Linked DNA regions of Oryzias latipes. The protein of the gene in region 2 interacts with the protein of the main gene of each other region in a pairwise test. Links are inferred from orthologs where the notes say so. Each region holds a gene or a part of one and is shown on either strand. Other genes may lie near its edges.

Region 1 (11,179 bases), on a different chromosome or scaffold from region 2:
TTAAAAAAGAGAATTTGGCAAGTGTGGTCCTTTTCCTAATGAAATAACGTCCCCTCAACACATATTCCATGATATAAGGGCAGAATACACTTTAGGAAATCCCATTTGTACCAAAAAGCCATTTAGTGCAGCTAAATTAAAGAAAGTGGTTTCTTTTTTTGTTTTATTGGAATCTGTTTTTAGTTAGTTTTTCCTTGGCGAAAAGGCGGCGTCTAAGGGCAGGGATGTACCGTTTAGTTTAGCAATCAACTTTTGTATTTTATAACTGATTTGATCTTTTGTACAGTTGGTGAAACCCAATGAGACAACTATTGTAATATTGGGCTACATGAATAAAACTGAATTGAAAGTCTTGAGCATACAAATGTATTTGTACTTCAAACGATATACCTTTTGTAAACAAGCTTAAATCATCACTTTTTCTGCTTGTCATTTGGTCACTTGTCTAATCTTTAAAATAGGGATGGTTTTCATGTTTCTGATTTGTTTTTTGTCTCACAAATGGGAAAACCTAAATAACATTTGGGAACACTTGAGGGTTTTTGTTGAAATTTGTTGATTTGGACTATTTGTTTACTAAAATGTTTTTCCATTATAGAATATACAGCTTATTGTTTTTAAAGGTAAATTTGGACGTTAACAATTTTGATTTCTCTGAATGTTTGACATTATTTATTCAAATTGGTATCGCGTGACTTCGTCCGAATTTGATCCAGAATGGACGTTTTTTTAACGTGTCTGTGGTTTGGGGGGGGGGGACGAAAGAAAAATGTATCAAGTGTACCTTTAAAATGTCATTTCTTGACATAGAAGGAGCGAAGTGGGATTGGGTGTTGGCTCTGACGGTGCACGTTGTTGGTGTGAAGGCTGTTCTTCTGTCAAAACAACTCTGGTCACGTGGGTCGCTGACGTAGCGTTCTCCGCTCTGCGCTGGTGCAGAGGGGGTTTCCATCATGGCGTCGATGCAGGTAAGAGTACAAATGACAGCGAGCGGAATTTAACAATTTACCCTAAAAGTCTTTTGGTTGTTCTCAGCAGTTTGTGTGTCACTCCGTTTAAATGTAATATTGACTTCATATTGGTAGTTACATGGAGGAAGAAGTGGTGTAATTTTCTTTTTTTAACTCGTCAGGTTAGCGCTGGGTCTCTTTGCTAGCAACACACAAGCAGTCCATCATCATCTACGGCCACAGCTAGTGTAGAAACCGTCAACAGAAACTACATTTCGATGCATGGCAGAGGCTCTTTTGCATGGGATATGTAAATTAAAATCTAGGAACTGGACTATCGTGATAGGAAAAGTCATTGAATTAAATGCGAGCTGCTCTGTATTTGGTCGACATTCACCGTGGTAGCTAACGCGACGGTGCGCAGATTGGGTAGCACTGTACTGCTCATCTGAACAGGTGTACTTGTTCTAAATGATGAATGTCAGAATGTCGGCGTTTTTGTCTCGGATATAAATTCAAGAGATCTGGCAATTAAATGAAAGTCGCTTCCCTTTAGTTTAAATGTATTTTGATTCGGTTTGTTGCGTACCTGTATCAACTATGTTTCGATTAAAGGGACCGAATATTTCCTTGTTGTAGCTAAACAGGGAAACGAAAGTCACTGTTCACCTAAATGCAAACATGAGCTTATCAATAAGGCTTACTTGAGGAAAATGCAGTTAATCTTGATCTTAATAATCAAGCATCTTCTCCCTGACAGAAATGCCCACAGCGGGAGTTGTTGGACAAGCAAAATGTCAAACTTGAAAAATAAATTTCCCCTAATAAATATGCTGTTGCAGATATTTGAAGTGTTTTTTTTTTAAAGAAGGCATGGAGTTTACAAACTATTTTACTTCAACTATTTCCTGTTTCACTGCCTAATCCAGCCTAGTCTAATGTTCACTTATAAAATAAAAACGTCCCACCTTTATCAATATGGGCTTTAATTGAAAATGACTAAATATTTTGTTAAAATGCCAGTATAGTTTTTTAATATATTTTTATGAATCCACTCTTTGATTTATGCAAAGTAAGCTTGTTTTTGGTAGTTTAAATAAAGTTTAAATCAATGTGTAAAAACAATTTCTACCATACTAACATTGTGCTAGTATAGTGCTAGTATTACTAGATATTTGACTGTTGTGCAAACATTTGTACACTTTCTTCCCTCAACAGAAAAGGCTACAGAAGGAATTGTTAGCCCTGCAAAATGATCCACCCCCAGGAATGACCCTCAATGAGAAAAGTGTACAAAACACCATCACACAGTAAGTATAACTTCACATGGTTAAATGATTGCTTAAGAAACTTGAGTAGTTTCTGAAATATTCCATTCCCATTAGAAGACTGTTGACTGCTAACAAAGCGGAGGTCGGTGGAAAAGGCTAAACCAGAGCAGGGAGAGGGGGAATGGGGTCATCCTTGTAACTGGCAGCTCTGGCCCTTCAGTAGAGTCTCTAAGGTTGAGTGTCGCAATTCATCCTTATAAAATATTTAAGGATTGGCATTCATACTGTGCCTGGATAATGATTAACAGAGGTGGCACAGCTACTGCAGGATGGGGGATTTCCCTTGAGGATCTGGGAATGTTGTTAAAGAATGTTTTTCAACTTTTTTCTTTTTTTTTGGACATTTTTATTGAACTATTTTAAGATGCTAAATCAAATTTGGAAATAAGTTTCTCCCCTCATTCTGCTTCGTCATGTTCAGGCATTAATAGTGCTATCACAAGAAAGCAGTTGTTTTTTTTTTTTTACAGTTTTTCCATAATCGTACCAGTTTTTACTATGCCATCTTCCTAATAAGATTAGGCCTCTGTATATTCATGTGAATGAATGCTTGGTGTATCCGACAACTGTCCAAACCAGTTCTGCTGCCTTCCTCTGTCCCTACGTCACAGGTTTTTGGTTGACATGGGTGTGCATGTCGTGTTTGTAGCTGAGATTTAAAGGCCTCAAAGAGAAGATTGTAGTGATTCATAACAGCAGGAGGCTCCTTTTTACAACCTTGTATTTCAAACGGTCCAATGACTCAAACTCCATCCATCAGGTTGAAGATAAACAGCTGTTTTTGAGGATGTTGCTGCACAGCTTTTTGACAGTTTGAGCGTTTTTGTTTGTACTACCTATTGGATTCTTTTGTTTTCTAGAAAATGTCTCTTAGTTAAGAGGATGTACGTTTGTGCTTCTAGTTGGAGTCACTTTTCCAATCAGAAATGAGGAAGTGTCATCCGTTTACATCTCCTCCAAGGTTTCTCAAATGTCACGTTTGGAAGGAAATGGGAGATTGGAAATGATTTGATTTTATAATGTTTTGGGTTCAATTCATGTGTTCTTTATTACTACTCTATGCATACCTTCCTCACATTGAAGGCTTTTAAAACAAGGACGTCTTACAAGGACCTGAACTTGACTTTAATTTAATATTGTAAAGCTAAAAATCCAGAAAATTGTGACAAGTTTGATCTATTTTGCGAGCATTAAAATAATGTCAGAGATTGTGATGCTGCATCGTTGCCCCTTTTTACTTTCTTGGGTTCTTTCTGTGACTAAATTCCCACTTTTTGGTCTCTGCTGGGCCCTAGTATTTAGCTTCTTTAACAAAGCAAATTTGCTTTCTGTCTGAAGCTAAAACTTAACATGTAGTGTACATACGGAGTGGTTCTCCACTCTTTCTGGCTCTGCTGTTATCTGAGCAAGATTGCATTTTTGCCACCAAGCTTCGTGGCTCAGCTTTTTAAGGCTGAATAGATTCTGTCCTTTTGTTCAGTGGAGTATCACATTATCAGACAGTGCTCTCACAACCCTGCAGAGGACTGAATGTCGCTGGAATGAGTCAGATTAAAGGCTTTGGTTTTGACACTTCATGCAGAATTGACAGATTCTGGTGGTTGACTCTTAGGATGATGATGAGAAATTACATTAACCCCGTCTCAGGCTAGTGTTCTTAAAATGATGAAGGAAAATGTCAAAATCTAAATAAATTCATTTAATTCATAAAAACAAAAGCAAGTAACTATTTTAAATATCTACAAACTCCACTGTATTTAATAGATGAATTGAATACATGTTGTAAGCGGAAGTATTTTGTAGTAGTTTTAGTTTAAATCAAAACTGTCTTTTCCATGTTTTCCTGCTTAGTGACAGTAAACTATATTATTTTCAGAAAAGATACTTATAAATGCTGAGTGAACATGTTTAGTTGTTTTAAAAATAAAATTGATATGTTTTGGCAAATTACTTAAATAACATGTTATGCAACTTCTAAAAATACATGCTAATAATAAACTATCATTAATAAAGTGAAGTGGTCAGTTAGAAAAAGTTGTTTATATTAAGGGATGTTTTTCTGCTTCTGTTGTTGTATTCAAAGAATAGAGAGAACAGATTACAGTTCATTCAAATGTATTCTGTTGTATAGTAATTTTGGACCTGATAAGGATTTTGATGATTCTTTATTTAAACCATTTTTTTAAATGTTTTTTTGCATTAAAATCTAAACTAAAAGTAACTTCAGGGTTTTTCTCTTTTATTTTTTTCTACTAAAATCTATCAAATGTTTTTATGTTTAAGAGAGAGCTGTAGGATAGTTATCACTTTTGTTGGGAGATGTTTTTTTTTAAATAAATGTTATGACTTGCACAGCACTTATAAAAGAACGAGCAGCCAAAGTGCCGAACACAGAAATTAAATATAAATAAAATCCCTAAACAATAAAAGAAAGAATAATGATAAAACGATGAAAGCCATGAAGCATTACTAGTTAACCGGTTTGTGTGGTCACATATTATTTTGGCCACTTTATCATTGCTGCGTCACTGCCACAATCTTTTCCACCATTGTTCTGGCAGTGTGATGCTGAAGGACAGCAGATACTGCAGAAAGTGACCTGCCGGCACATTTCAGCCGTGATCCTGGCGTCTGCGTCCCATGTTCCATATCTGGGTACACGGGACTGCTTTCACAAAACGAGTGTCAAAGATAAAAGGGGAGTGTGTTGTCCCCGAAATGTTAAATGAAGGTGAAGAAAGCTGCAAACTCCTGGGTTTTTTCCATCACATGGAGATCAGATAGCTTACACGTGATACAAGAAGCAGTTTGTGAGGAAAAGAACTGTGCTTGATGTCTGTATGTTTTTTAATTGTTTACAAATGGAATTTAACCCAGGATAAAGAGCTTCTCTAAAGTATGTGCCGTCTTGCCTCCTTTTTGGTTTGCATGTCATAAAGCAGAACCAGAAGATTATGAAACAACTTGTCATTCTATACTGACCAAATGTTTTTCTTGCAGCAACTAAGACTAAATGTCTGATTTGATTCTTTCTATCATATAAATAAAGTAAATGTTTAACCTCTTTTAAGTCTATCTTCATAAATTCTTTGTTCATTCAAGGAGGGACCACTTGTGTTTAGATGCAGTTCAGAGTGAAATCTTTTCTATAAAAATTCTATAATTTTTTTTAATAGAATTTAAAGAAATGCACTAAAACATTTTTCTGGGCTAATGTCGATTATCTATTCAAGTTGTAAAATGTATATTTTCCTTGTTATTGCCAGATAATTGACTCAAATACCTGTGTGCTCATAACTATCTGTTGCATGAAAGCCAGCTAATTTAATAACCGTTGATTCTACCTTCTAGCCATAAAACAAACCATCTTACAACTTCTAGTGGATCAACATTTTGGCCAGCAGCTGTCGGTGAGCTGCCCATTTTAGAGGCTGCTGTTGTTTATGGAAACCTACTGAACATTCCTCTCCTTTATCTATTGCTTTATTGTTCCCTCAGTGGGGGTAGAAAGCAAGTCTGAAGACATTCTGACCATATTTTTTAATCGCATCACAGATTGGATGTCTCGTTAATGCTGCTTTTATTTTGGTGGGGTTATTGAATCCTGTTTTTTGTCTCTTGCTTGTCTTTTAGGTGGATTGTAGATATGGAAGGAGCGCCTGGGACTCTGTATGAAGGAGAGAAGTTTCAGCTACTTTTCAAATTTAGTGGTCGATATCCTTTTGATTCACCCCAGGTAAGCACGGCCCCACACGACCCTGAATGTGAGACTTTCTAGAGCTCTTTGTCCCGTGCAGCTGGAAAGGTTTAATAATAAATCAGGTTCTTTTTAAGAACTAGCAGCTAGACTGAGTGTCTACGTTTGACGGAACTATTGGAGGCTTTGAAAGATCTCTATTCAGACAAAAAAAGACAATAACATAAGGATAAACTAAGGCAATTGCTCCTTTTCCATGGCTGATAAGAAGTTTTTCCTGTTTTAGACTAAAGGTTCTGCAAATCAATGTGAGAAATGGAGGTAAAAGTTGTTTAGTACCTGTACAGAGCTGCTTTATGGGTGGTGTATTGGTCACACTCTCTTGTTAAAGGAGCGTGCTTTAGAAACAGTGGAGCTTGGATTCAGTCAAATAGTTTCACTCGACTGTTTGTTATGCTAGTCAATTTCTTGACCATCTAAAAATCCAAAATTCCGAACTAAAACCCAACTGAGCTGCTTGGACACAACTCTATTTACTGTAAGGCCAGACTGTCAAAGGTCGGACAGGTCAATACTGTTCGATGGCGTTCTGTGTTTGTGTTCGGTTGCATCAACATAATCAGAGAAAATGTCCCTTACTTTCTGGGATTCTCCCCAACATGCTCATAAATATGTTGCCTTATAAAACTGACCTGATCTATTGATTTTCTGTTTTAGAACCACCTGATGTTAGACTCTAATGAAAGGATTTCTTTGACGTAGTTTACTTCTATAGATGTTCACACTTCTCATTTGCTGCCAAAGCTTAAAGTTAAACACTTCAAAATCTTCACTCACCACCATCCTGAAATTTCTCGACATCTTTCGATTTCTAGACGTATTGGCTAATTTTGTTCATAGATTGCTAGTTTTTGAATAGCTTTTAGGTTTTTGGATTAATCAATCTTTAGTTTTGTGTTATGTTTGCTTATAAATAAAGCTGTTCTTGTTTTTTTAAATCATTTTTTTATTTTACCTGGAAATAATTTGTAATTTTAGATGTTCCTATCTGCCTTGTATTTTGCTCTCTGTGAGTGAAGGATTATACATCTTAACCCCAATCTCAGCTCTTTCTCTGGTGCTATAATCTGGATTATATGGACATTGATTACCTGTTTACAAATCAGTAATAACGTAAGAAGGCTAAAAGTACAGTCTTCCCATATCGAATCAATCGTACAAAACAAAGAAAAGCTCTTATTTTTAGCAGCATAAACCATAATGTAAACAGTGAGTAGAAGCAGCTGGAATGAGGAAACTCTTTGCCATATTTTCACTGCATTATAATCTTTCTGCCTCCTTTACTGACCTTTTATATGAACAGCTGATCTCTTGAACTTAATCCTATAGCCTAATGTTTCTCCAGAAAGTAGTTGTAATAATAATCGAGTTTTTTTAAACTAAAGTAAGAAAAAATAACTTTTCCTTACTTTACTTGTTTGATCGTGAACAGGCCTTCATTCCGTATTAAGTTAGGAAAAACTGCGTTCATCTTTGTTTGTCACTTATAACTTTGAGTACTGTAACCTGTCTTTCCTCTGCGCAGGTGATGTTCACAGGGGAGAATATACCTGTTCATCCGCATGTGTATAGCAACGGTCACATCTGTTTATCTATTCTGACAGAAGATTGGTCACCAGCGCTCTCAGTGCAATCTGTTTGTCTTAGCATTATCAGCATGTTGTCCAGCTGCAAAGAAAAGGTAAGTAGTTGAACGCAGAAGTTCCTGTTCTTCCTGTTCTTCACCTCTTGGACATTTTTATTTATCTATTTTTATTTTTTTGGCAGAGACGGCCACCAGATAACTCTTTTTATGTAAGAACGTGTAACAAAAATCCAAAGAAAACAAAATGGTGGTATCATGGTGAGTACTTTGTCACTACTTTTTTGATTATAAATTTTTTTTTATCAATTTTAAACTGGCTTTCTTGTACTTTTCCCTCCACAGATGATACTTGCTAATGTACAAACTTTCTATTAATGGTAGAAGACGCAGCCCTACTGACCTACATGAAGCACTTTTTAATCCTTCAGTCTTTGAACTCTGACTTGTGACTGGAACATTGGAAACCAAGCGCAGGACTGCCTATCCCCCCCACCCCACCCCACCCCCCACCGTGGACAGTCGGCTGCATGTTTTTAGTTTGCTGTAACATAGAAAGTGGAAGTAAATGAACATTTGGATGCACCCACACAATATGGTTTGTGGCGAGACAGCCACAGTGCAGCGAGCAGGAAAGGAAGAGTTGTGGTGAGCTAATTATAATTCCTGTTTTAAGATTATTGTTACTTTTTTTTCCGTTTGTATTTAGGTGCATTTTAGGGTTTTGTGTCGTGCAATAATAACTGATGGATGCATGCTTGGGCCTACAAAGACAAAAATCCAAATCCAGTCATCATCTTGAAGGAGTCTAACCATCAAAACCCCAAGAAAATGCATCATCCGTTTAGTTTTTTTTCTCCTTTCACTATCATTGTTATGCACTGTGAAATGATTTAGTTTCAAAGAACCTGTGCACATTTATCCCCCCAACTTGCAGATGTACTGTAAGAAATCCTCCACCTATTTATCAGGTTTAAGGCTTTTAGTTTCAAAGTACAAACAGTTTCCACCTTGACACCTGATGGCAGTTCTTCCTGCTGTTGTTGCTACAGATGGAACTAAAGTGATATTAGATCTAAAGTTATTTAATGACCTCACTGTACATCTCCACTCGTGGTTCGGGGTAGTTGTCAGTAGTCCAGCCTTCAAGATGTGCAGCAGCTTATCTTCCATTTAAAGAATGTCTGTAGGGAAACATTGTTGCAGGATTCTTTTTTGTTTTTTAATTTGTACAATACTTTTTTTAAATATAGGCTTTAATTTTTTCTTCCTCTAAACTATTTGATTTTAAGTGTATGTTTTTTTTTGTATTCTTGTTTTGCCCTTAGCCGATACTTTAAATGGGGGATTATAGTAACAATTGAGGGTTCTTGTTTTTTTTTTATTTCTTTCCTAATTGTTACTTAATTGAAATCCTCATTTGATCTCCAGTGCAGCAGTGAATGATAAAATGAGGCTTTGTTGGAGTTGTATAGAGAAGGCATTTGTGATTTTTTTTTCTTTTTTTTTTTTTTTCTTCCCCTCCTGGTCAGAGTTGTGACTCAGGTACTTTTTCAATAAAGAGATCACCTCTAAAAAAAAACAACAAAAAAAAGAGAGAAAACTATCGTATATTTTGAATTAAACTATATTTGCACCAAAAGAGACTGTTATGCTGTAAACTTATAACATGTCTAAAACTCTTGTATGCTTTAGAACTATTGGATGATGTGAAAAGGTTTGGCAGATGGTACATTAACTTCCTAGCTGAGGGATGAGATGAGTGCTTATTTTACTGAAAATTAGTCGACATCGACATCTTTCACTACATTTTTTGCTGCGTACAGTCAGCGATAAACTTGTACTATAGGGGCGCATGCAGTTTTGATATTCTGATTTTGACACTAGACTTTCCAGAAAGTAGATGAGTCGTTGGGGGGGTATTACTACACTTCCAACCAGAGGATTTGGTCAATTCAGGCTGTAATCACTCCATTCCTCAAGCAAATGTTTATCACCATCCAGTCGGAGATACTTGAATTTTCCTTCTATTTTTTTGTATTTATGCCTACTTTTTTCCTCCCGTCGCCTGGTGTTCTTCCTTGATTGAACTAGAGTGAATGTGACTATAATCTTTATTGTACAAGCAGTTAAAACAGCACACATTGTTCTAGAAATTATATAGATAACTTAAAGACTCTTGAATTTTTTTTTCTTTGCTTTTCTGCAGTGGGTGTTGTCCAATGTGTAAATGCAGTCATGAAAGCATTCGTGCAACAAGCAGTAGATCAAAGGACATCTTCATCTGTTGGGAGTGATTATGTTACAAGGGTTTGGATGTGATTTCTTTATTTTTATTTTTAAAACAATGCTACCCCCTTTTTTTTATTTAATTTGTTGTTTTCAATGTGGGTTTGGACTCTTAGCTTGCAGACTCTTATGAGTGAAAACACTAATGAGGGTGAGTTATTTATATTTAAAATGTTATTTTGGGATGTGCAAGCTCCATGTAATAGGTGCCTGTTCATTTTCATAATCAATAAAAGCAAAGATTCACTTTTATTCAACATTTGGTTTGCACCAAAACATGACAGTGTCTTTTGTGTCTTCTGTAATTCTTTTTTTTGTTTTTTCCAAAATTGGGTCAAATCCTTTGACAGTGATTCTTGGAAGATGCATCAAAAATTTTCCCAGAGTACAGAGTGCCTTGTTTTTGTTGTCTGTCAGCTTTCGGCCGCTTTCAACCAAAACTCCCAACAATCAATCAGTCATAATCCCTTTGTACAATAGTGAATATTTACAACAGCCTCATTCACCCCCCCCCCCCCCCCCCTTTAGGTTGTTTTAGAGTTGTTTTAACCTGTGATACTCCAAAAGAACCTTAATAAATGAGATATTTTCTACAACATAAAATGGCTTTACAAATACAAATGTCCTTATGATGTGCTGTTCTTTTTTCCCCAAATTAAAATGTTTCACATTTTAATTTTTTCATTCATAGTTCTTAGGAGAAAAAAACATTCAATGGTAATCGTGAGCACAATGAATCACATCTGTGTAAATTAAAGATTCAGGTTGCTTTGCACTTGTTTTTTATTTATATATATATTTATATATATACATACAAATATTTATCTCGACAGTAACTTGGGGAAATATAACCTGAACAAGTCGCGCCCTCTTGTGGTTGTTTGCAATACTACGCCAAAGTTTAACACTGAATTACAAACACATAAATAACCGAGTAAATAATTATTTCTCTGATACGAGGCATATGATGCTTAAAGTTCTGTAACCTAGTTTTCATTTTTACTGTATTTCTCTTCGTCCCAAATTTGGGAAACTTAAGGCAAATTAATTCCAGTCTGGAACTATAATTTTAAAATGAAATCTAGCATTGCATCATCTGAGTAAATTGCAAAAGAAAGCCAGTGTGCAGACAATGCTAAAAATAAATGAAAAAAATAAAAACACGAGCGCTTTTAAATCTGAAAAGTATTTTTGCAGCCCTGAAGAAGCGAACTGGGACTAAACCATTTTCAACTCTGCGGGGAGGTCCGATTCTTTCAGTATTTACCCC
Region 2 (10,917 bases):
TTTATGCGGCCTGCTGCCTTTCCTCCTTTGCCTTTATCCCCAATTGCTTTCTTGCCCTTCTTCCCCCCCTGTGATAAATATTTGAGAGGGAAAAAAGGATAAAGATCAGGTCATAAACCAATAAATAGAACACAAACACAACTTTCTACATATTTAAAAAAAATACTACCTTTCCCTTAGCTGAAGTTGTACTTCTTCCATCGAAATCCTCAGAAAAGTCAGTATCTGAGGAGAACCTTGTGTCTGTATCCCTAGTAGGTACATATAAACAGTGAAATGAGCATCAACGAGCATTCATCAACCATCAAATCAGAAAAAATAAATAAAACAAATCCTTACTGAGGGTAGGCGAACTCTGTTGGGATTTCTGGTGCTGCTATCATTTCTGTAACATTTTCTGAATACCGTCAACTTGGAACTGACTTAAGATCCTCAGCAAACACAAGACGGGAAAGGCCGCATGTGACCTTAAAATAAAAGACAGAAATCAGTGAGATCTTTAAGCATTTTTAACCAAGTTGCCCTGACTTGAACAAACATGTTTTGATTTCTACGGGGGAAAAAATGAATGAACCCGTTTCACTGTTCAAGCTTGTGTGAGGTAAAATAAAATTTTCACATGGTAACAGGGGGTGGGCACAGCCTCCGCTGTCACGCTTGCCATCTTCCCATTGGCTCCCCGAGTGTCATCACTCCTGCTTGTCATGCGAGTTAGACTGGAGTATCATCCTCCATGGCCAAATATGGTCCAACTCAATCCGCCCAACACAAAACCAAACCAATCAAAGTGCAGTATCAACATCAACAAGACACTGCAGGCCAAGGAGTAAGACAAGCTTTTTTCAAAGTAGATAGCAGAAGTAACTTTTCAGAGCTGTATATTTTTTGCGGCCTGATACTCCCACTGGATGCAAATGTCTTGAATTGTAGAAAAAGGCCCACACAAACATATATTCAACCGTCCAGCAATAAGGAATAAAAAGCAAACTGTACCCATGATCCTCCTAAATGTACTAAATTGGCTTTAGTTCACTTTGCCCTGGTATTCTTACATATGGTTAAGCAAAAAGATAAAAAAAAAAACTGTCTAACGTTCCTGATTCTAATGTTTTCCGTCCAAATCATGACCCACGTTTGGAAACATGCGGTTTGAGCTCATCACTATTTTAAAAGTTCAACTTATATATATATTTATTTAAATTTAGGACTATTGAAGTTATCTAATACAGATGAAAAGATGCATGGAATGAATACTTCAAATATTTGTATATTATCTAATCTAAGTTTTTTTTTTTTTTTAACGAGTCCATTTCCTATGAAGTGAGGGAAACACTGCATGTCAAGACGAGAGAATACGATGGGTGTAGACTGAAAAAGTGGCGCCAAATCGTATCGACAAACCCATAAAGTTGCCCATGTGACCTAATTCTAAATACATTTCGGTTCAATTACTCCACAAAATAGATCTGGTTGCTTATAAACGTCTCACGACTCCGCACACTTCGGACTCAATTCCCTCCAACGACGCCGGCACAGCAACGCTCTTTGTCGGTTCCTGTCAAAATTGACACCGGTGCGCTGCTGGTGCTAGCGCCACCAGCTAAGGAACCGAGGATCTCGGAGTATTTTCCTCGACGTCAGCTAACTAAAATCTAACGTAGTGCGCGTGCACGACTCGGTGCAAACAAGAAAAGAGTAGATAAAAGCAAGACGGCATACTTTGACGGCACGAGACTTCAAGATATTGTATATATGCACTCTGTACGCCTTGAAATTTTCCGACTATCACAACAAAACAACGCAAGCTCTACTGTAAGCTAAAATTAGCCAGTGTATAATCACGCTAATCAACTATATATTTAGTAGTCTAGACTATATTTAGCTCGTATTCCACTTGCATACGATGCTAGTCTTAAGGAAAATAAAACGAAATACACACTCTGCAATTTACAAGTTGAGAATAACTCCGATTAGTCAGAAAATGCTAACAGCTAATGCTAACGTTACCTTAAAAAAACATCACGTCCTTGCGTCCTCCATCTTGCCTCGGGAGTTCCACCGCCGTATTGCATAAGCAACAATCACTCTGTTTACAAATATATTAAGTCCTAAAACGCTATTCCAGATTTTAAATTACTTATTTCCGCAGCAAAGTGTTCGCTTAGGGCGGGCGTGCAAAAATGTGGGATTGTTAGCTTACTGGCGTTTAAGTTGCCATATACCGCGAACTAGCAAAGCGACTTGGTTCAGGCAGGCAGCCGCGCTGTGAGCTCTTCTCAGGCTAGCAAAGCTAGCGAGATAGCTAGCAAAATACAAATCAACTAAGTTCCAGATAGCTCTCCGCCATTTTACATCTAACTTACCTTGTGGTAAAATGTAGTCCCGTTGCGATCTTAACTTGTACTACCCTTTTACGGTCTTGTGTCTTAATCCAGTAATAATTTTGTAAAAAGAGTTTAAAAGTCGCGGTTAAAGGCGGTTTCGGACGTTCTCTCACCCCGCTTGCTCCGTAGTTCGGTTTGTTGTTTCGACGACCTGGGAGGAGGAAATCCTGGAGCAGAGCTGCCACCTAGCGGCCACAGCGGATGCGTGAACGACAAGTGGCTTGACCTGACATCTAGTGGTAATTAGGGGTACTGCAATTTTTTGGGAGGGGCGGCTCTTCTCTTCCCTTTTCACTTTAGGACAGCTTTGACTCTAAAACACCTTCCACGGAGTTCCATTTAATACAAAATAAATGTAAAAAGAGATCAGTAAACAAAATTGAAAAAAGTGTTATAAATAGATTTGGGTTGATTTCATCTATGTGCAGCACAGTTTTATCAGCTGGTTGTTAGTTTTGCAGAACTTAGAAACTTACCGCGTTTCTGAGACGTATTTAGATGCTAAATCAAAGTAATTTATAAATAATCTATTGAACTTTAATAATAATTAACTACAAAACAAGAGGATGTGGTTAGTTTTGCTGGTTTCCATGTTCTAGTCTGTTGATAGAAAGATTTCTAAGTTTCACTCCTAGAAATAAGCCCTTCCATTGGGATGCTTACTTTGCAGCACGCTCATTATCCACTGTCATAATAAAAAACTACATCTCCCCCCAATCTTAATTCAACGTGGGTTCAATACCAGCTTTTAATCAAATCGGTCAGATGTTTCAAGTAAATTTAAATTCTTGGAGAATTAACCTGATGGTTGGCTGTACCTGGGGGAAGAAGCCGTTTGCCAGTGGCAGAAACATAATCTGTTTTTATGAATATTACCCAAATATGCCGCCCACCCGACAAAATGTAATGTCTTACAGAACAAAAAAAATACATAAAAGTCAAACTACAAAACAAGACTTAGCTAAAATATAAAAATGCAATCAAATCATTTAAAATAAATATTAAATTACCAAATTGACAGTTTCTAATTATTTTTTATTTAAAAATCCTAAAAAAATTCCATTCCAAATTAAAAAACTTGAACATCCAAGACAAATATTGTTTGAAAATGTGTCTGAAATTGTTTAAAATTGAAATGTGATGTTAAATCAAACAATAAAAAAAATGTAAATTCAGATGAAACCACCCAATTTAGAATTAAAATTAATTCAATATTTTTATATAATCAAAAATGATTGAAATTTAGATTTCTACCTGTTGTTTCTTCCCCAAAATATTCATTAAGATGATTAGAAAATAATTTCATAAGATAAAAAAAAAATTGTCATAGTTAAGGAACTTTTTTAATTAAAAAAACAGTTTTAGGGAAAAATGGAAGGTAAATAAAGACAAAAAAGTTATTTATTCACTGTTAATGAAAGCAATTGAATGAGTGACGTGTGAAACATCTCACCACACTGGAAGAGTCTTTATTAGTAGTGTTTTTAAAATTTTGCCTTTATGCATTAAAATATCTTTGACAAATAAAGAAAATAAATCAAAGTTTAAAAACTAAATATATGCTTGGGAACAGAAAACTAAAATAAGACAATTTCAAAGCTTTAAAGTTTAAATAAATGCATAGATAGAAACAGAAAACAAATGAAAACGTTACATTTTAAACAATAATAAGAAAAAATTATTGCTTCTAACAAAATCACCTGGATAGAATAATCCTTTATCCCCCAAACTACTGAAAAAATATTATTCAGATACATCTCTAATTCTGCAACATCAACTATCTTTACATATATTATAGTGCATGTTTGATGAATATAGCGTTATATTACATAGTCACTAATGGAATTTTCCTTTTTTTAAGTGGAGATTTGTGTAAAAAAAACAATGAATGAATTCCAGATCTTGGAGCACGGGGAATAGTTTTTATTCCGAGTCTGAAGAAAAAGCACTTTTTATGTTTAAAAACAACTTAAACCCTAAAAATCTTCAAGTTGGATGAAGAAATGCAGATATTGATGTTTTGTGAATGTTTCATCACTACAAACAAACAAATTTTCGTGTTTTCTTGCTGTGAAGAAAACGGCTGTTATATGTAAGTTCTTGCAAACCTGGTTTAGACAAACCTTTAGTTGTATTACTCTTTGTTTTTTCCACCTACATGCTCACAAAAAGCCATTTCTTCACAGACACCCACTTAAAAAATACGTCTCCATTGAAAGAATAGCAGCAACCATGTTAGACAAGAGTCTTTGGTTTCCTAAGCGATGAAGGTCCGGATTTTCTGTGCTATAGCTGCACAGCAGATGGGACACTGGTTGAGCTTATTGGAACACGCCTTGCAGCTGGCCAGATGTCCACATGGGATGAAGACGATGCACGCGTTCTCGTCTAGGCAGATTTTACAGCGCTTTTCCTGCCGCAGCTTCTCCAGCTCCTCTAGAGGGTTCTCAACTGAAAAAAGAAAGGGTTAGTTTTCCACGGTCCCAATTGTGACAATCTCTAACTGTAAGAGCCCAAGCAGGCCACAGGGGGGTGCAGCAGGGTCATGGTCTGGGCATCCTACTTTTTTTCTTTTTTTTTTTTAACTCTGCCGTACTGCTTAGACCATGCTTGAAAATTCAATGTTTTCTATTATTTGTCAGCCCAGTTCGTATGTAATTAATGTAAAATTGCAGAAGATAATGTTTTTTGACTTTTAATTTAACCCCAACAAATGACTGAGCTGAGGTCAGGGCTCTGCAACCTGAAGCTCTGGAGCTACATGTGGCTCTTTGACCCCTCCTTTGTGGCTCTCATATTGAAGAATACTAAAATGTTTTTCATTTTAAAAAGTAACATTCTTTAGACCATACGATACATCAATCAAAACAAAATCGTCTAACGTTTGAAACGATTTGACCACAGCAATTCAGCTGGAGGTCAGTAAACACAACCAGAATTCATACTTAAGGCACGCTGAGACTAGAAGAGATTATTATTGAACAAAATTCAACAATTGCAAGTGCGCCATAGGGTCAAAAATCTAGTTTCATTTTAGCTTGTTAGATTTTTACAAATTTCTGGCTGAGAGGTATAAACAACAATAAATTAAACAGTGTATAGTTGTTGTTTTTTAATCACTGCTGACATCCCAATTCCTACAACAACATTTGTTACATTAAGATGATCATATGTGGTACAGAGAGTCTTTTATCTTGAAAGGAAGTCATGTAAACCTCTGTTAAAAGTTCTCACTATTTCAAACAAATTTATCTTTATGACTGTTTTATTTCTGTGAAAAATCCACAACTTGATTTATATTTACAATAATAGTAACAATAACATGAATGCAAATCAGTGTCTTTTTATGGCTCCTACTGGGTTCCGGTAAGTGAAAAATTAACCTGATTGGCTCTACAAGTGCTGAAGGTTGCAGACCCCTGGCTTAGGTTCTCCTTCTCAAAAGGTTCAGCTAACTAATACCATAGTGTACATTTTTAGATTTAGATACATATCCAAGAATATTTACCTTTCTCCTCTTCAAAAAATCCATTTTGATGTTCTGAAGCCTGGAAACAAAAGGGTCACATCATCACTTTTTGTAAATCCTTTTGTCTGAACTCATGAGAAACGTCTAACAGCTTTTGTTTTAAACACACTCCCCCACCAACTCTTTAACAGAGAATAGGCTAGGCATAATACAAAATAAACCTTCTTTGTTTTATTTAAAAAAAAAAAAACAATTTCTACAAAAACTAGGGAAGTGAAGAAGCTTCAGAAACAGATTTCTTAAATGAGGGGAAATAATATGCCTTACCTGTTGTGAGTATTTAGGTTCTTGTAGCTGAATTGTATTAACAAACTCTTGGCCTTTTTCTGATAAAAGAAAGCTGCATCTAAAATGGAATTTAAAAAAAAGGATGTAAGATACATACATAAATACACTTACATCCCTTGTGCTATCCTAGGCACGTTAACGTTGGGAGTTGGGTCATCTAGACCCACTAGACAGTGAGCTGAACCTTTTTTCTTCAATGATTTGTGATCTTCACTGGTGTCTATGGATTACATGAAATCTTTCCACCTTTGTCCACCTTTGTCATGTAGGGAGAACACGTCAATGGCCATCTTGACCCCATAGGATAGCACAAGGGTTATACGAATACATAATCCTTCTTTTATGGGAAAAAGCAAAGCTGGAGGTTTTTACCCAGGATAATATTTGGCATGTTCTTCCCAAGGATTGTCCTCAGGGTCCCAATCTTTCAAACCACCACCACATCTGAAACAGATCACTTCGTCTCCTTCTCCTAGAATAATAATAAAAAAATATTATGAACAAACATTTAGATTTAGAAAAATTAAAATATTACCGGTACATCTCATTTGTAAAGGGGATGTTTGAACAAACATGCTTTACCTTTGCTGTAGAAGCCAGCTTTAGCAAGCAGCTCGTGGTCAATCGGGTGCTGGACGCGTGCAAAAGTGCCGAGTCGCTCGTCAAGATTTTCCAAATTGACAGGTGTGCGATGTTGGTTTCTGCTGCCAGTCTCTTCATTTTCTCCTCCATCTCTTTCCAGAGGCACATTTCCCACGTCATGACCAAGGATGTAGAAGCAGTGGGAAAAATGTTTTTCATGCTCGTTCCAGGGGGTGTCCCCAGGTTTCCAGCCACTTAGCTTGCCTCCACAACTGAAACACTCCACTTTATCCTCCTTTCCTAAGTAGAACAAACCTGCCTGAGCCAAATCTCGAGGTCTGACTGGAGCAGAACGCGGCCACGAAGAGAAAGTTTCCAGGCGGGCTTCTTCGCTTTTCATATTCCGGTTCCGTGGATATGGAGTCTCATCAACAATGGCTCTTGTTCTCAACTGGTAATCTATATATCCTTCAGTTCCATCATGAAGGCCCCCATTGCTGAGGGGCATATGGGGATTTGACTTAAAACGGTTGAAGTGTGTGCAGCGGAGAAACGTGCACGATGGGGAAACCTGCATGGAAGGAAAATGTTGAACTTTATTATTTAAAAAGTTGAAAAAGAATTGCCCAACATTTCTAAACTATTTTTTTTTTCAACATAAACAATTACCTGTATGTGTCTGTCCACTGGTTGATCTTCCTGGGACCAGTTTTCTACCGTTTTCTGGCAACTGAAGCAGCGTACGCGGTCAGAGACTCCAGTGAAGAGGAAGCCAGCTTCAGCCAGTTGCAGCGGTGACACCTTCTTGCTCCAGCTGGAGTTGTAGAAAGATTCCAGACGATTGTTTATCTTAGAGTAATCAATTGTGGAGTCCGATTCCCAATTCCCATCTTGGCTGGGGTCACACATCATTGAAACAAGTAGCTGTGGCGGTAAACACAAAATCTAAAAGAAAAGAAACATGAAAAAGGTTTGAGTTAGAAGTGTAGAACCTTGAATAATAGATCATGGGGGAATCTCTTTTTTTTTACTTAAAGACCTACTCCGATCATCTTTTGAGCCATTTTTAAAGTGTTCCCAGGGGTCTTCTAATTACCACTATGCCATTTTTGTCCAAAAAAGTGCCCAGATTTTTCTGCAGAGCAGCAGTAGATCATTAGAAATTCGCCTCTGAGTTGTTGGCTGGACTGTTGGCATGGAGCAACGCCGCTTCTCTCCATGTTGCCGAGGGCTCTCTGTTGCCATGTTCTCCTGCTAGCTTCAGTCCTCCTCAGTCATTCAGATTTGTCAAAAATATAAAGTATTCTGGAAGTTAACCAGCTTCCCTATCTTTATGTCCACCTTTGACATCACATCGTGCTAATAAACATTGCATCAGCACGCCTGTGTTTCATGCAATTCTTATTCATGACACATACTAAAGGTGTGATGACTTTTATTCAAGCCTAGTCACCTCCCAGAGGAAATTATTTGTCAAAAACAGAAAGTAGAAGTCAAATATCTTTCAGTTGGACATTTTTTGAGAGTGTGTGTAGATAGAATGGTATGGAATGTCCATTCCATTCATAGTCATAATCTGTCCACATAGCTAGGCTCTTTAAAGTTCTTTTAAGCCGGTAACTCAGGAAACCAGATGGATATCAGTTGAAAAAATGAATGTTTTAGTGAAGGCACAAGGGATGGGCACGAGGGCGGCTCCTGTAGTTAACTTATATGCCAAAGGGTGTAGCAGATGTACTGTTCACCATTCTTAAAGAGCTAATCAGATCATTGATTCATCAAAACACAATGTTGGAACACTGTTAATAGGTTTCAGCGATCTGCCACATATGTTTGTTAGATTATCCAGAAATGTACTAGCAGCACAGTCAAAAACAATCACTGTTTTCTACAGGAGGTTGAGACTCTTGTGTGATATTGTTGCCACACATTAGGACAGTCATATGCTGCATTACTCCTTCTGACAAACACGCTGTACGTGGAACTATTTGGTGCACATTTAGCTGTGACATGGGATTTTATCTGCTGGTGGTGGAGGACTGCATGTGATCTTTGCACTGTCACGTTTTTCTGCCTCAGTGATCAAGTGATCAAATCAAAAGCTAACGGCCATATTTACTACAGTAAATATGCTGTCGCAAAGACAGTTTTGCTGTCTTTGCGACAGCAAAACTGAAATTAACATCTCTAACCGCCCAGTGAGCGACAAATGCGTATGCCGTCATTGTTGTGTTTCTACGAACTATCAACTGCATACTTTGCTCTGTTCACAAAGATTCCACCCACATCATTTAAAGGGCTACACATCACGGATTAAAAATTAATATAAAAGAAAAAAGACAACTGCTGGTGTTTTACAGTGGATAAAGGAATCTTACATAAGGAGTCAAATTATTATTTAAAAGTGCGTACCTTTGCTGTAACTATAGTTTGTTTACATTTCATGTAACATTTGACTAGCTAGCTAGTTAGCCTTGTTCGCTAAGCGCGCGATTACTTTACCAGCGGCTCTAAAAACATAAAATACTTGCATTTCTTTGCTCGTGTAGGGAGGTCTTCGGTTCGTGGTTTGAAAAGGTCCTTGATGAGATCGCCCTGTGAAGGAAATCGGCGTAGAAGAATTCCTTTGGCGTGACCTCCCAAAGTCAGGAAGTAAGAACAGCGTAGTCTTTGACAATGCGCATGCGCATCGTCGATTACGCAAAGAAAGTGGGGGTTCAATGAGAAGATTCCAGAGGTTCTGTTTCAGTTTCGTTATGGAAAAAAATATAAAACATTGTCACTTAAACAGAAAAATTTCAACATGCTTAACAGCTCAAGCCCGAAGATGTTATTGCTAAAGAAAGATATGTTTTTGTAACTTATGCAGTATGTGTTGAAACGTAGATTTGAAAAAAAAAAGAGAGAGAAAAAAAACCACGCAGTCCCGAAAAGCGACTTTTAAGCAAATCTCTAGGTTTTTTTTTTCTTCCCAGGGGGGGTTTCCCTTACAAATATGCTGTTTAAAATCAGTAAAATACACTGTCGACAAAAGAAACTAAATGAGTAAAAAACATTTATAAATGTGTCCCTTATGTCTCAAAGCAAATGCGACATTTATATGATTAATTTATTCAAATTTAGCTTTTTTTCTGTTTTTCAACGTTTGGAGCAAGAATACAAAATGCCACATATTTTGAAGTGGGTTTTAGTCTATGCTTTTATTATGAAGGATGCAGTTTTCTTTAAGATCACACTTTAACTTCTGAAAAGTTGGTGGGACAGTGGTTCAAATTTCAGTGTGTTCTGAGTCATTTTAAGTTCAGCCGGCTGTGAGGCTGCCCTGTCAGACACGCAGCATCCAAACTATACAACTTTAGATATATTTACATTTGGTCACATGAAATAAAAAATAAAACATTTTAAACAGCTTCCAAAACATAACCAATGTGGAATAGGGGAATAGTATTAGGCAGAAGTCATAAATAGGGTTTTAATAAACATCCATTTGTTCAAACAAATCTTCAGTGACATTTCTTTGGTTAAAAAAAATACAGAAAAGTACAGGTAAACCACTAGAAAAAAAGTTGAAGCCACCAAACACAATTTGATGAATTCACTTCAAGAAGCAGTGAAAAAGGGAAAGTACGAAGTTTCTGTGCAGTTTGGTAAGAAACCCCCATGCTGAGTGAGACTTGCTGTTTAGGTGACAAGGCAAGCATCCAACTTCCCCTTATTTGATGTGGGTTAATGGGGAATTACATGGTATAAATTAAACACTCTTTTCACACCCCCGCAAGTTTCTCACCCAAGCTTGGGTCCTCTACTAGAGGCCTGGGAGCTTGAGGGTTCTGTGCAGTATCTTTCCTAGGACTGAACCTTTCTGGACTGAGATGTTTCTCCAGGGATCTGCTTTAGCCACTCTTCTGGTCATTTCTAACATTACAGCCACTCCTCCACCTTAGGGGTTACTGTCCTGAGTGATCGGATAACCACAGGCACCACCGTCAAATTAACCTTAAAGCTTTCTCCAGTTCTTCCAGACTTTCCTCTTTTCTTTGTCCACCTCTACAGTGTCTGGTTGGTTCTCCATGACCATCTTGTCAGTTTGGATCTGGGAGTCCCACAGGATCTTAGCTCTCTCATTCTCTGCCA
Region 3 (11,286 bases), on a different chromosome or scaffold from region 2:
AGTTTGTAAGTCACCTTGCATGTACACGCAGATACACTTGCATGTACATTCAAAAACACAAATACAGAGAAAGCAAAAACACAACATAAACAAAGCAATACAACCCCCTCCCACCCCCACAGAAAACATATGTAAAATTATTATGCAAACAATATACTGTGCCACCAACCTATGTCAGGCATAGAGACTGAACACCTGCTAATATGTACAAGAATTCACTGGGTCGCTTCTAAAGTCAAGGACATGACATGGTCTAAAAAGGGTGACCAAATTTCAGAAAATTTTTATTCAGAGCCATTGAGAGAATGGCTAATTGTTTCTAGCTTAATGACAGAAAGCAAGTTTTTTTTATCCATTGTGAATGAGTGGATCTTTCCAGTGCATCAGGATAGTCCGCCCGGCAAGCAGTGTCAGAAAAGCTACAAGATTCTCTGACCAAGGAGAGAGGGAATGATTGTCCAGAAGTATAGCAAAGACAGCTGTCATTGGAGATTGCTGTACTCTGACGTAGACATAGGCAGACAGACATAGGAGAGAGAGTCAAATGCAGAGTCCCAGAAATCAGAAAGAGATGGGAATGTTAAAAACATATGAGTGAGATTTGTAGGCCCTAGATTAATTCAGTTCAATTTAATTTATATAGCCCAATAATACAAAAATGGTCATCTCAGTTGGCTTCATACTGTTAGTTTTATAGTAAACATAAAATCATAAGGATCATGAAGTCATAGAATTCAGCAGGTAAATTCTAATCTGAACTAACTAAACTAAACTGGGCCTCCCTGCCCTTAGACCAGGGGTGTCAAACTCATTCTGGTTCGTGGGCCACCTTCAACCCGTCTGATCTTAAAAAGGCCTGACCAGTAACATAAAAGCAGAATAATCTATGGTCACCTGCCTTCTTCCTGACCTTTGATGGGGCGCCATCAGTGACCTGACTAACATCACGTGACCAGTTGACTTCAACATTGTCCAGCGCAGTAACTAGAGCGCTGACTATGTCAGCTGTTGTGTCCATCAACTCAAGAAACTCCACTGTGACAGTCTCTCATGCACAATTGTGCAACATCTGTGAAGTCGGTGCTTTCATCAACAGCGAGCGAAAATGCTATAAATGACTGGATTCTGTCCTTCATTTGGCCGCCTAAGTCTCTTCAGAGATGTTGTATCAGCAATCGTAATCCTTGACAGACTTATGCTGGAAAAGGCAGACTGCTTTTTGGGTCACAAGACTTCTGCAGCCTTCAGCATGCATTGTTTTCATAAGTTCACCATCCAAAAATGGATTGGATGTTTGCACCAACTTGTTTGCAATAAGGTGTCTGTCACTGCCCCATCACTGACGTCACAGCTGCAGTTAATGCAGACGGTTGTTTTTTCAGTCCAGCTAATAGTTGCTAAATCTTCTCTTTTCTTAACTGCAAGTGGTGAAACTTTTTTTTATGGTGAGTCTCATAGTCCAGCTGAATGTTATATTCTTTGAGCACTACACCCTGTTGATGGCATACCAAGCACGCAGGTTTTGCATTCAGCTTTGCATTCAGCTCCGCAAACAAAAAAACTTTTTCCTGGAAAGCTCGGCACTCCACTTCAACCTTTTTTTCTTTTTGACAACATTTTGGTAATTAGGGTGTCACTACTGATCATTCTTATTGCACTGTAACAGAGGTGAGGCTGTTAGGTTTTCGCTTTAAGCTGTTTGACCTGTTTGACCTGTTTTTCTTTTCCTTTGTTCCCCCTAGTGGCGGAATTGCACATTTCAGGTATTTCTTTGAAAAGACAACTCGCCACCGGAATAGACTAGAAATGTGCTTTTAAAAAAATCAGAATAACCAAAAAAAAACATCCTTATTATTTTTACTCTTCACGAGTAAGAATTATCGTAGAGGATTAAACCATCTGGCGGACCGGATATGGCTGACGGGCCATATGTTTGACACCCCATTTCAGACCCTTCTTCTCAATAATGAAAAACTCCTAAAAAAAAAAAAATCAGATTCCGGAAAAAAAGAAGAAACCTCAGAGGTGTCCACATGAAGGAGGGATCCTTCTACAGGACGGACAAGCGATGTACCAGGAATCTTAGAGAAGAATCATCTTGTCTAACTCTACAACTACATTTTTAAATAGTCCAGCAAATGGTCTTCATCCAGATGGAGTTGGGGGACTGCTGGGGAAGGGGTACGCCATTGCCTCTGGAATAATGGGAAGAAGTTAACTTTTATTTAGGTTTAATTTGTAACTAGAGATCTGGTATTGCAACTATTATATTTTGTGACTGATTTTATGTTTTGTACAGTTACTGGTGTGAATCCCGTTGAGACAGCTGTGTTGTAGTATTGGGCAATATAAATAATATGGAATTGAATTGAAGGAGAAAGAACATGCAGGAGAGAGTGTCCAGATTTAAGAGGCAATGTGTTGGTTTCTGGTGGCTGCAAAAGAGATAAAGGAATTGACAACTTGACCCTGCAAACAAGTTTTACATATAGCCAATGCAAATGCTGTTGAAATATGATCTTCAGTACAATTTTCACAAGTATTTTGCATCGTTTCTGAGTATAAAACAAAGTCATAAACCCACCAGATCATTGATGTTTTCCACGAAGTCCAAATTTCTTGAGTAAAAATTTGAAGTTCTAATCGTGTTTATGTATAAAGAATCATTTTTGCTTTATTGTTTAACTTGTATGCTTTTAATTTATCTGAATGTGTGTTGTTGATAAATACTACATAAATCAACAATAAAGCCCATCGAGACGACTGTTGTTGTGATTTTGGGCTTTACAAATAAAATTGAATTGAATTGAATTGAATTAAACAAAGCAAAGTCATATTAAAATAGTAAGTCCTGTTGGTAAGACTTGATATATTGGTTAAAGCTTCAGTCAGAAGATGAGATCAAATTCCTGCAGGCATGATCTCACACGTTAAATGATGAAGTAGAGAAACAGGATACACAGGCTACCAAAATTAGGCTTCTTAGAAAGTAAGGGTGTGTGTGGAAGCGGGACGGATGGGGGTTAACAAACAAGGTTTTTACAACCAAAATTATTAAATCAAAACTAAGGAACAGGGAGTTTAATATCAACATCTGAAATCTCTTGCAGAAATACTATAGGTGACTTAAGCAGAAATCAGTCAAATGTAATAAAGACAAATGCTAAAATGAGTTCAGTAGGTAAGGCAAAAAAACATAAGGTGAGAAAAGAAACAAATTTTTTAGAAGAAAAAGAAGGGTTATGAAAAACTTTCCCTATGACAAAAAAAAGCCTGTATTGGCTTAATTTTAATTTAAAATAATTACTTTTTATTTAACACAGACCTTTCTTTTCCATGTGTCTATTCCTGAGATCCTCATTCTCTTTTTAAAAGACTCTTCCGGTCCTCCATACTATATTCATCTTGAAGCTGTTAATCGTAAACAGGAAAACCACAGGCTGGAAAAAAACAAACAAAGCAATGGACAAATCGAGGTTCGACGTCACCCATCGAAAATGCCTTACTCTTGCAGATGAAGCAAAATCCCTCACCCTTCAGTAGGTCATTGTATCTACGGCAATGGCTTTTAAAAAAACGTTATTGTTTTGACACAAGTATGAAGAACAAGAACAATGGCCATAACAATGAGAATATATATTAAAGAAGCAATATTGCAAAACACATTACTACACATTGAAGATCTTCAAAGGTAGACAGTTGTCATATGTACGTATGGCTTTTTTGTTTATACTATTAGAAATGGTACACAAATAAGATTCTAATTCTTTAATTATTATAGGGGGAAAATTTCATCTGAAATTGTGAGTCAAATTTGTGACTTATAAAATATATACATTCTTTCCAAAACTTTTTTGTAATATTACAGTTCCAAAGTAGGTGACTAATTGTTTCTGGGTGTTGTTTACAAAGAGTACAATGGAGGTCAATTGTCGTATTATATCTTAACATGTACTGATTAGTGTGATAGATTATCTATGGCAATGGCGACAGTAGTTGCCAGAGATACGATGACTCAGAGCGACTTAACTGCACCCGTATCAGGGAACTATGGTACTTCCTATTTGGGAACATGAGAAGGGAGAAGTTGAACTGTCCATTGTTCTTATTTTATTTTATTTTATTTAACTTTATGAAACAGAATGCAAGTATACAACACAAGAAAGAACCAATGCAGTGTATGACGTACAATGAATGCATAGTACATAGACAATAAAACAATTTTATGCTCTTTTTGAAATAGTGAAAACACAGGGTAACGCATTTTCCCATCTCAGAGAGAAATCTTTAAAGATATGAATGATAAATCTACTGAACTCCTTTCAAAACGTCTGGGTGGGCAAATACCCAAAAAGATGTGTCACAGTTTCTGAATGATCTCCACAGAAACAATCAGTATTAATATCTTTTTCAAATTTTGTCAAGTATTGTTTTGCAGGGTAAATTTTATGGAGAATTTAAAAAGACACTTCTTTCACCTTATTTATTGTTAAATGTTTATGAGGGATCCTCCACACCACTTTCCAGTTGTTACCTGGAACAAATTGATTACAATAATTTAAAATATACTATGTCACTTATTTATCAGTGTTTTTAAACAGCATTAATGTTCCTGATGGTAGGGCATTCTGCACCATTAACCCTTGTGCTATCTTAGATGACCCCACCCTTGCATTGACGTGTTCTCCCTACCATGACAAAGATGGATAAAGGTGGAAAGATTTCATGTAATCCATGGACACCAGTGAGGTTCACAAATCATTGAAGAAAAAAGGTTCAGCGCACTGTCTAGTGGGTCTAGATGACCCAACTCCCAATGTTAAAGTGCCTAGGATAGCACAAGGTTTATGGACTCTTGTAGACTGACAGGAAAATTATATAGCGATAAGGACACATTGTAGTTTAGCAGCTGCCCCTCCTTATTGAATAGCCGAGCCACCAGCAGGGTCCTATTCTGTGTCCAGGTCTCCAGGTGGAGTGATCTTTTTTTAAATGAAAAAAATCTGTTAATCCAGATGAAATATTTGTGTGGTGAAAAAGGATACTTGAAAATTAGGTTCCACACTAAGAGGACCTGCTAATGGAAAGATGAGAGTTTTACTGGGAGTTTCACAACATTATTGTTACAATTCAAAATAAAATTAAAGCCTCCAAAACTAGAGAAAAAAATCTGTAAATGGTATAATGTTCCAGATAGCAGTGGGGTTCTTAAGAAAAATTTTGGCCCTATTAATTTTAACATTATACTGCAGATAACATCTACTGAGCAGTCCTTAATTGCAAATAATTCACATTACTTTTAGTTTAAGTTTAAAGGGTGGGGTTATGAATGCTTTTGTTCTTCCCACTCATTTTCAAGCAATAAATCAAGAAGCTCTATTTGACATTAATGAATACTATATTTATTTAAGCAAATGTGACAAAAGCGAGTCTTTGTTTTAATCTATGTCTTTCATCATTTCTGTAATTAGTTTGTCAATCTGTGTGATTTAAAAAAAAAGTATTGACTACAGTTAATGCTTGAAATAAAAATAAATCAAATAAAATCAAATTACTTCCTCAAGCGTGAGAAGGCTCCCACAATAACTAATTTCCTCTTCATCAATAGTTCTGAGGTTTTGGATATTATTAAGTAACAAAGAAGAACTGTCCTCATAGTGTCCATTGTTTTTACAGTCCATGGTAAAAAGCGCATAGCACTGATTTTCATTCTTTCTTTCCTTCTTTTTGTATTCATTCAATAAAGTTTGAAGGAAAAAAGCGCAAGTATTTCGCTGACTCCGGCGAGCCACCGTAGACTCTTACTGCGCATGTGCGTGGTTTTCAAATGAGTGGCGTGTGAATTCAACATTGCTATTATTTAAAGTTAATAAGTTGTATGTATAAAATATCACTATGTCTGTTCAACCTACAAACCCAAACAATCCAATCGTTTTCTTCGACATCACCATCGGCGGTCAGGTAAGTGAGCTTAAAAGAAAAGTTGAATAAATGGCTAAAATTTGTTAGCTAAGGCTTAAGGGTAACTTGAAAATCGACTCAAATATATAGTTATTCTTTACAGAGAAAGAATAATATCATGTAAACTGCGCGTGATACGGTTTGCGTCTGTTTATTAGATGCATCCTTATAAATAAAAGTAGTTTTTGTGTGGTGAATCATCATGTGTCTCTGTCTGAATTTCACCGTCGTATTAACAAATTAAAGTCCGGTTTAGACACTCTTTTAACAAACGACGTTTTATTTTTTTTATATTTTTAAAAGCTTAAAGTAATGTTTATACAGCATTCCATTAGATCCAACAAAGACTACACAACATGTTTGGTTTTACTTTTGCTTATTTTCTAGCTTGTTTAATTCTCTACTTAACTTAGTCTGTGAGAGTCTTTCCGTCTGTACTTTGATATCGCAAAGCTTTTTTTCCCCTAGATCCATTGTGTTTTTTTTGTTTTTGTTTTTTTAACTTAATTCAGGTGAATCAAGTAATCAGGGAGTACAACACACATTTCCAAAGTTTAATATAATACTAACGATGCCCTTTCTTGCTTGCTATCTATCAATCTGTCTTTTAAATATGGCAAATGGCGTATACTTATATAGCGCTTAGCTACCTTCTTCAAGGCCCAAAGCACTTTACAGTCGCAGACCCAGTCACACACACATTCACACACCGATGGCGGCTCCGCTGCCGAACACTGGCGCCAACCTCCCACCAGAGGCCAGGTGGGGTTCAATGTCTTGCCCAAGGACACTTTGACTCATGGGTGTGCAAGGCGGGAATCAAACCTGCAATATTACAATCATGGGTCGACCGCCCTAACGCTGCACCATGCCCGCCGTAGATAGGTACCTTGTATTTAATTTACTGCTCTGGAGTGGGGTTGTATATCTTTCCGTCTCAAATGAATTGATGCGCATCTCGATACATGGTCTATGAATTGATACATAAAATATTCAACTAACTTTCCGGTACAGTCCAATTTCTTTTAATCTAAAAGGATGACAAATGACTAAATGGAAAACAATCTAGATATTTATTATTCATTTGGCATATAACATAAGGGCTGCACGATGGCACAGTGGTTAGCGCTCTCGCGGCGAGAAGACCTAGCTGGGAACTCTCTGTGTGGAGTTTGCATGTTCTCCCCGTGCATCCCTTCCTCCCACAGTCCAAAAACACGCTTCATAGATACATTGATGACCTTCAGCTTACTGTAATTAACCTGACTTGGTAGAAATAAGCTTGTGACTGGACGTTCCGATAGAGTAAAGCACAAAAAGAAGAGAAATTGACAGAGATAAACCGATTATTCCTGATCAATTTTATACCTCTATTTTAACATGATCTTGTTTGTATCTGTGATTCTCAACTGATATGGCTGTTACACTCATAACTTGATTAATTTCTTTTATACATTTCTGTATCCTTTACGTCCACAAACATGTTCTTTTTTTTAAGACATTTAAAAACTCTGAAAAACTTACGTGCTTCCTTTTTATAAGGCACGTTGATCTTACAGACTTCCAAGAACTCTCAGGTCCCAAAGGTATTTTCTTTTAACTGTCCCAAATGAAAGCAGCATAGCAAACAATGAGGCCTCATTTGCAGTTGTTGTTGATTTTATCGGCAAAAACAGCCTCCCCCAAGACATTCTGCCTCCGCAGAAATCATTATGGACAGGTTGGACTGACCTTTTTTACTTGTGTTTTTGTGCCTTGCTTCATCAATTTGGTGTCTCCTGCCTTATGTTTTTATTTTCCCCTTCAACGCGTCCTTGCTCCAGAGAATGATGATAGTTTCAGTAGATGTGTTTTTGTGGCTGCTTCTTTAATATGTGTCTAAATTGAGCTGTGACGGTGTGGGATTTTTGATCACCGCGGTGATGAACCAGCAGGGGGCGCTGCGTTCTTTTTTTTTTCATCCTCTGTTATTTAATAGGTTCCGATGAGAACCATTTCCCCGAGAGGCCACAAAACTAGCAAATATGTTGTAATTAACTAGCAGTTAATCTGCTTCTCCAATAGATTTTTGTCAACAAACAACTTATTTTCTCATCTGGATCTGGATGTTTTTAGACAAAAGCTGCATGTTTATACTGGAATGTCTTGCCACATTTGAGACTTTGTTGTTTGCTAATTCCTCATTACATATTAATAATTCATTCATCATGAGGAACTTCAATTTTCTCAAAATTCTCCATTGTTGTCCCAGAACATTGTTGGGAGTCGTGGCGGTGACGCAGGTGTGTAATCCAAACTTTAATCAGAAACCTAATACTCAGCCCGTTAGTTTTTTTTGTTTTTTTTTTTTATATTATTTTTATGAACCTTGCTGACTGCTTGCTGACCGTAGTCGTTAGCACAGGGTAACCGCTACAGGGACGAGCAGCTCGCCTGGTTCCGACCCGTTCCTGGTTCAGACCTGGTGACAAAAATACAACAGCTGGTCGACAGACGACCCGGAGAGGTTCTGCATGATGAGGCTTTTATTCACTTCTCATTCAACCTCATTCAACATGAAGAACTTTCCATCCTATAAGAGACTCTGGTCTGTCGCAGACACGCCCCCTCCGCGTCTTCACGCTGCTGTCTTTCTTCTGCCCGCTCGCACATCCCGACGGTGTGAAAGGTGTGACACGGCAATCTTAGACATGATCGTTATTTTAAAAAACCACAGAGAGCCGCAGGCTGCTGACCCCTGATTTAGCTGATGCTTGACTGTAATCCAAATGGCATAAAGCTAAACACTGAGCCAGAGTAAATGCTAAACATATTTATCAGAGGTTACCGGTGGAAATTCCATTCTTTTTTATCAAACCGTAACATACTTTATCCCGTCACCCTTAAAAGGATACAGTGGGTCAAGAAAATAGATGGATGGAAAAACCCACTTTGATTCTCGTTAGCTATAAAGCACATACCTGACATGGCATGAACTGCCTTTTTAATATTAAATACATAAAAATCGAAAAAGAAACTCACATGACTTTTGAATATATTTTATTGTCTACAGGATAAAAGCAATTATTTGTTTAAAAACCAAAGTATAAAAAAAGTGAAAAGTTGTAAACAGGTAACAATGGCAGCATTTCCCGTACTTTTTTACATAAATCAACAGGTACAGTTGATTGTGATCCCCTTTCTTTACATGAGTTTAAGTATTTTTGCTGTGCAAGCTTGGTAGTTTGGCCCTTCAAGCTAACTTCCTACACCGCAGAAGTAAATGATCCACGTAAGTGTGTAGATATCGTTGTGTGTTTTCAGGGGAACCCGTTGTAATGACAAACAGTTATTCTGTATTTCTTTAAACAAGAAATAAGGTTTGTTCTTTGTCTTTTGACGGGTTGAAAACAGGAAGAGGCATTATCACCTGTTGAGTGCCTTTACTCAGGTGCCAGTAAATGTGCCAAAGGCAGACATTTTCTGGTAGATTGTCGTATGGCCCTGTTGTTTTGCTCCTTACCCAGAACACTACGCCTGTCATCAAACTGTTGGTGCATTCCAACCACAGGAGGTTAACAGAAATGTAGGCAGGTACTGGGAAACCGCAGAGCTGACAGATTAGAGACACTACCAGGTAAGGCATCCAAAATGTACTGAAGCCTAGTGTTAGGCTGGTCCACAGAGGTGGGCGTGGCCAGATCGTTTCCTTCTGGTAATTCTCTCCATTGTTCCTCCCATCAGTTGCTTGTGTTCCTGCAGAAGTGGAAAACAGGTCGCTCTTGTTTGTACGTTGCTGTTTGTTTGTTGTTGTTTGCTGCCTTGCCTCTAGTAGTTGGTCAGCCTCTTTCATCCAGTGGAAAATTTCTGAGCAAAACGGCAGCAGGGTAAATGATGTTCCAATGAAAAGTAATGATGTAAAGCTGGCCACCAGCGTTGACTCTTCTACTTGACACACCAATGCGCGTCTCCCAGTTTCATATTCCATTTCTCTTGGTTCAGCATTGACAAAGATAATTGAGAAAACAATAGCTACGCTCCACACCAGTAAAGTTAAGCACACATTTCTGAAGGATTTGAGGAATGCGGCGGAGCTGCTCGGACGAGTATTCTCCAAGCAGTAGAAGAGTAAACCCAGGCACATCATAGGCAGCGGCAGTGCACTATATATCACAGATGCTTTGGCCAAGATGAAGCAGGGGGACACGAAAGACCTCTCAGTTCCAAGAAACCATATGGTCGTCATTAAAAATGTAATAACCAAGTCACCCAGTGCAATGGACAGGCTGCATATGCTTAGGAAGTAGGTATACTTCTTGGGGCTGCATAAAAAGAAGACAACCAAGTCCAATCCCAATTTGAAGAGAAAAAGTAAACAATAACTGCTCATGTTATCCGTGTGACAGCCAGAGATGTCCCATTGGCCCAGGATCGCCAGCATTTTCATCATTTTGGGGTTTGCCTCAGATGCCGATGAATATTCGGGTGCCCTTTGTGTCATGCAGAGTTCGGTTTCAAGGTGCTCAAGATAGTCCTGGAAAAGATGCAAAACAATGAATTACCGTAGTAGACAGGTTAGTAAAAATAGTGGAGTAAAGTTTACAGCTCACAAGAGACGGAGAAAAACAGGCAAAAAGTACAATTCTTCGTGACTAAATATCATTTTTCAATGTGTGATATGAAAGTTTTGTGGAGGTTTTTAAACAGGCATCTCTTAACACACAGAACTTATGCAGTTTAGCGTAATAAAAAACATCAACTTGTTGGTTATTTAATTGTTGAACTCCATTTTGATCTTAGAAAAAGTTAGAAGCGCACTTCACCCTCTCAGAATCATTGTTTTTAAAGTTCCAGTACAATCACCTTTGATTACTGGAGTCATCTATCCTGAGCAATTAGAACTATGCTATTTTTAGCCTAAAAAAGACAGTTTCTGCAGAGCGGCAGTAGTTTGTTTTAAAATTTACTTCAGAGTCAGCGTGGAGCAACCCCCTCCCCTCCCCTCCCTGTTGCTGAGAGCCTGGACCTTGTGGCCCACCGAGTGTATGTTCTCATAAATACACTGTTTTCCAGACTGCTTTTTTATTTGCATTTGCTCCTGATTTACAATTTGAATAAAGATATACTCAGAAATGTAATTTTTTAGCTTAATTTTCTTTATATGTGTCCTCCATTATCAGAAAAATGCCACGAGTACAAGTTAAAAACACCAAAAACATGTTTTTTTATTGGAATGGGTCTTTAATACTGGCAATCTATGTTAAAAAAATAACCAGGACACATGTTCAACACAAACATTTTTCTTTTTACTTAAAGTTGTTGCTGCTTAGAATATTTAGTTTAGGA

Evidence for each region.
Region 1: the proteins of E3 ubiquitin-protein ligase XIAP (region 2) and ube2w interact in a two-hybrid assay, tested with the Homo sapiens proteins (2 studies listed by BioGRID and IntAct). The link is inferred for Oryzias latipes from reciprocal best matches to the Homo sapiens genes XIAP and UBE2W.
Region 3: the proteins of E3 ubiquitin-protein ligase XIAP (region 2) and ppih interact in binary tests that used the Homo sapiens proteins (3 or more experiments, as listed by UniProt). The two-hybrid records come from large-scale screens. The link is inferred for Oryzias latipes from reciprocal best matches to the Homo sapiens genes XIAP and PPIH.

The regions. Positions count from the first base shown.
Region 1 is NC_019878.2:16,087,778-16,098,956, forward strand, and holds ube2w (ubiquitin-conjugating enzyme E2 W), read left to right. Parts: upstream 1-867; 5' UTR 868-953; coding exon 954-968; intron 969-2,168; coding exon 2,169-2,260; intron 2,261-5,914; coding exon 5,915-6,017; intron 6,018-7,563; coding exon 7,564-7,719; intron 7,720-7,805; coding exon 7,806-7,881; intron 7,882-7,965; coding exon 7,966-7,979; 3' UTR 7,980-10,187; downstream 10,188-11,179. UniProt on the Homo sapiens protein: Accepts ubiquitin from the E1 complex and catalyzes its covalent attachment to other proteins.
Region 2 is NC_019868.2:22,022,650-22,033,566, reverse strand, and holds E3 ubiquitin-protein ligase XIAP, read right to left. Parts: upstream 9,466-10,917; 5' UTR 9,315-9,465; intron 7,729-9,314; 5' UTR 7,696-7,728; coding exon 7,453-7,695; intron 7,355-7,452; coding exon 6,784-7,354; intron 6,674-6,783; coding exon 6,574-6,673; intron 6,260-6,573; coding exon 6,181-6,259; intron 5,933-6,180; coding exon 5,893-5,932; intron 4,836-5,892; coding exon 4,642-4,835; 3' UTR 3,818-4,641; downstream 1-3,817. Other genes in the region: cohesin subunit SA-2, read right to left, coding at 1-68, 170-251, 340-383.
Region 3 is NC_019865.2:7,771,728-7,783,013, forward strand, and holds the start of ppih (peptidyl-prolyl cis-trans isomerase H), read left to right. Parts: upstream 1-5,786; 5' UTR 5,787-5,895; coding exon 5,896-5,961; intron 5,962-8,983; exon of another isoform or gene 8,984-9,304; coding exon of another isoform or gene 9,305-10,441; exon of another isoform or gene 10,442-10,474; intron 10,475-11,286. Other genes in the region: uncharacterized protein LOC105354339, read right to left, coding at 9,305-10,441. UniProt on the Homo sapiens protein: PPIase that catalyzes the cis-trans isomerization of proline imidic peptide bonds in oligopeptides and may therefore assist protein folding. Participates in pre-mRNA splicing.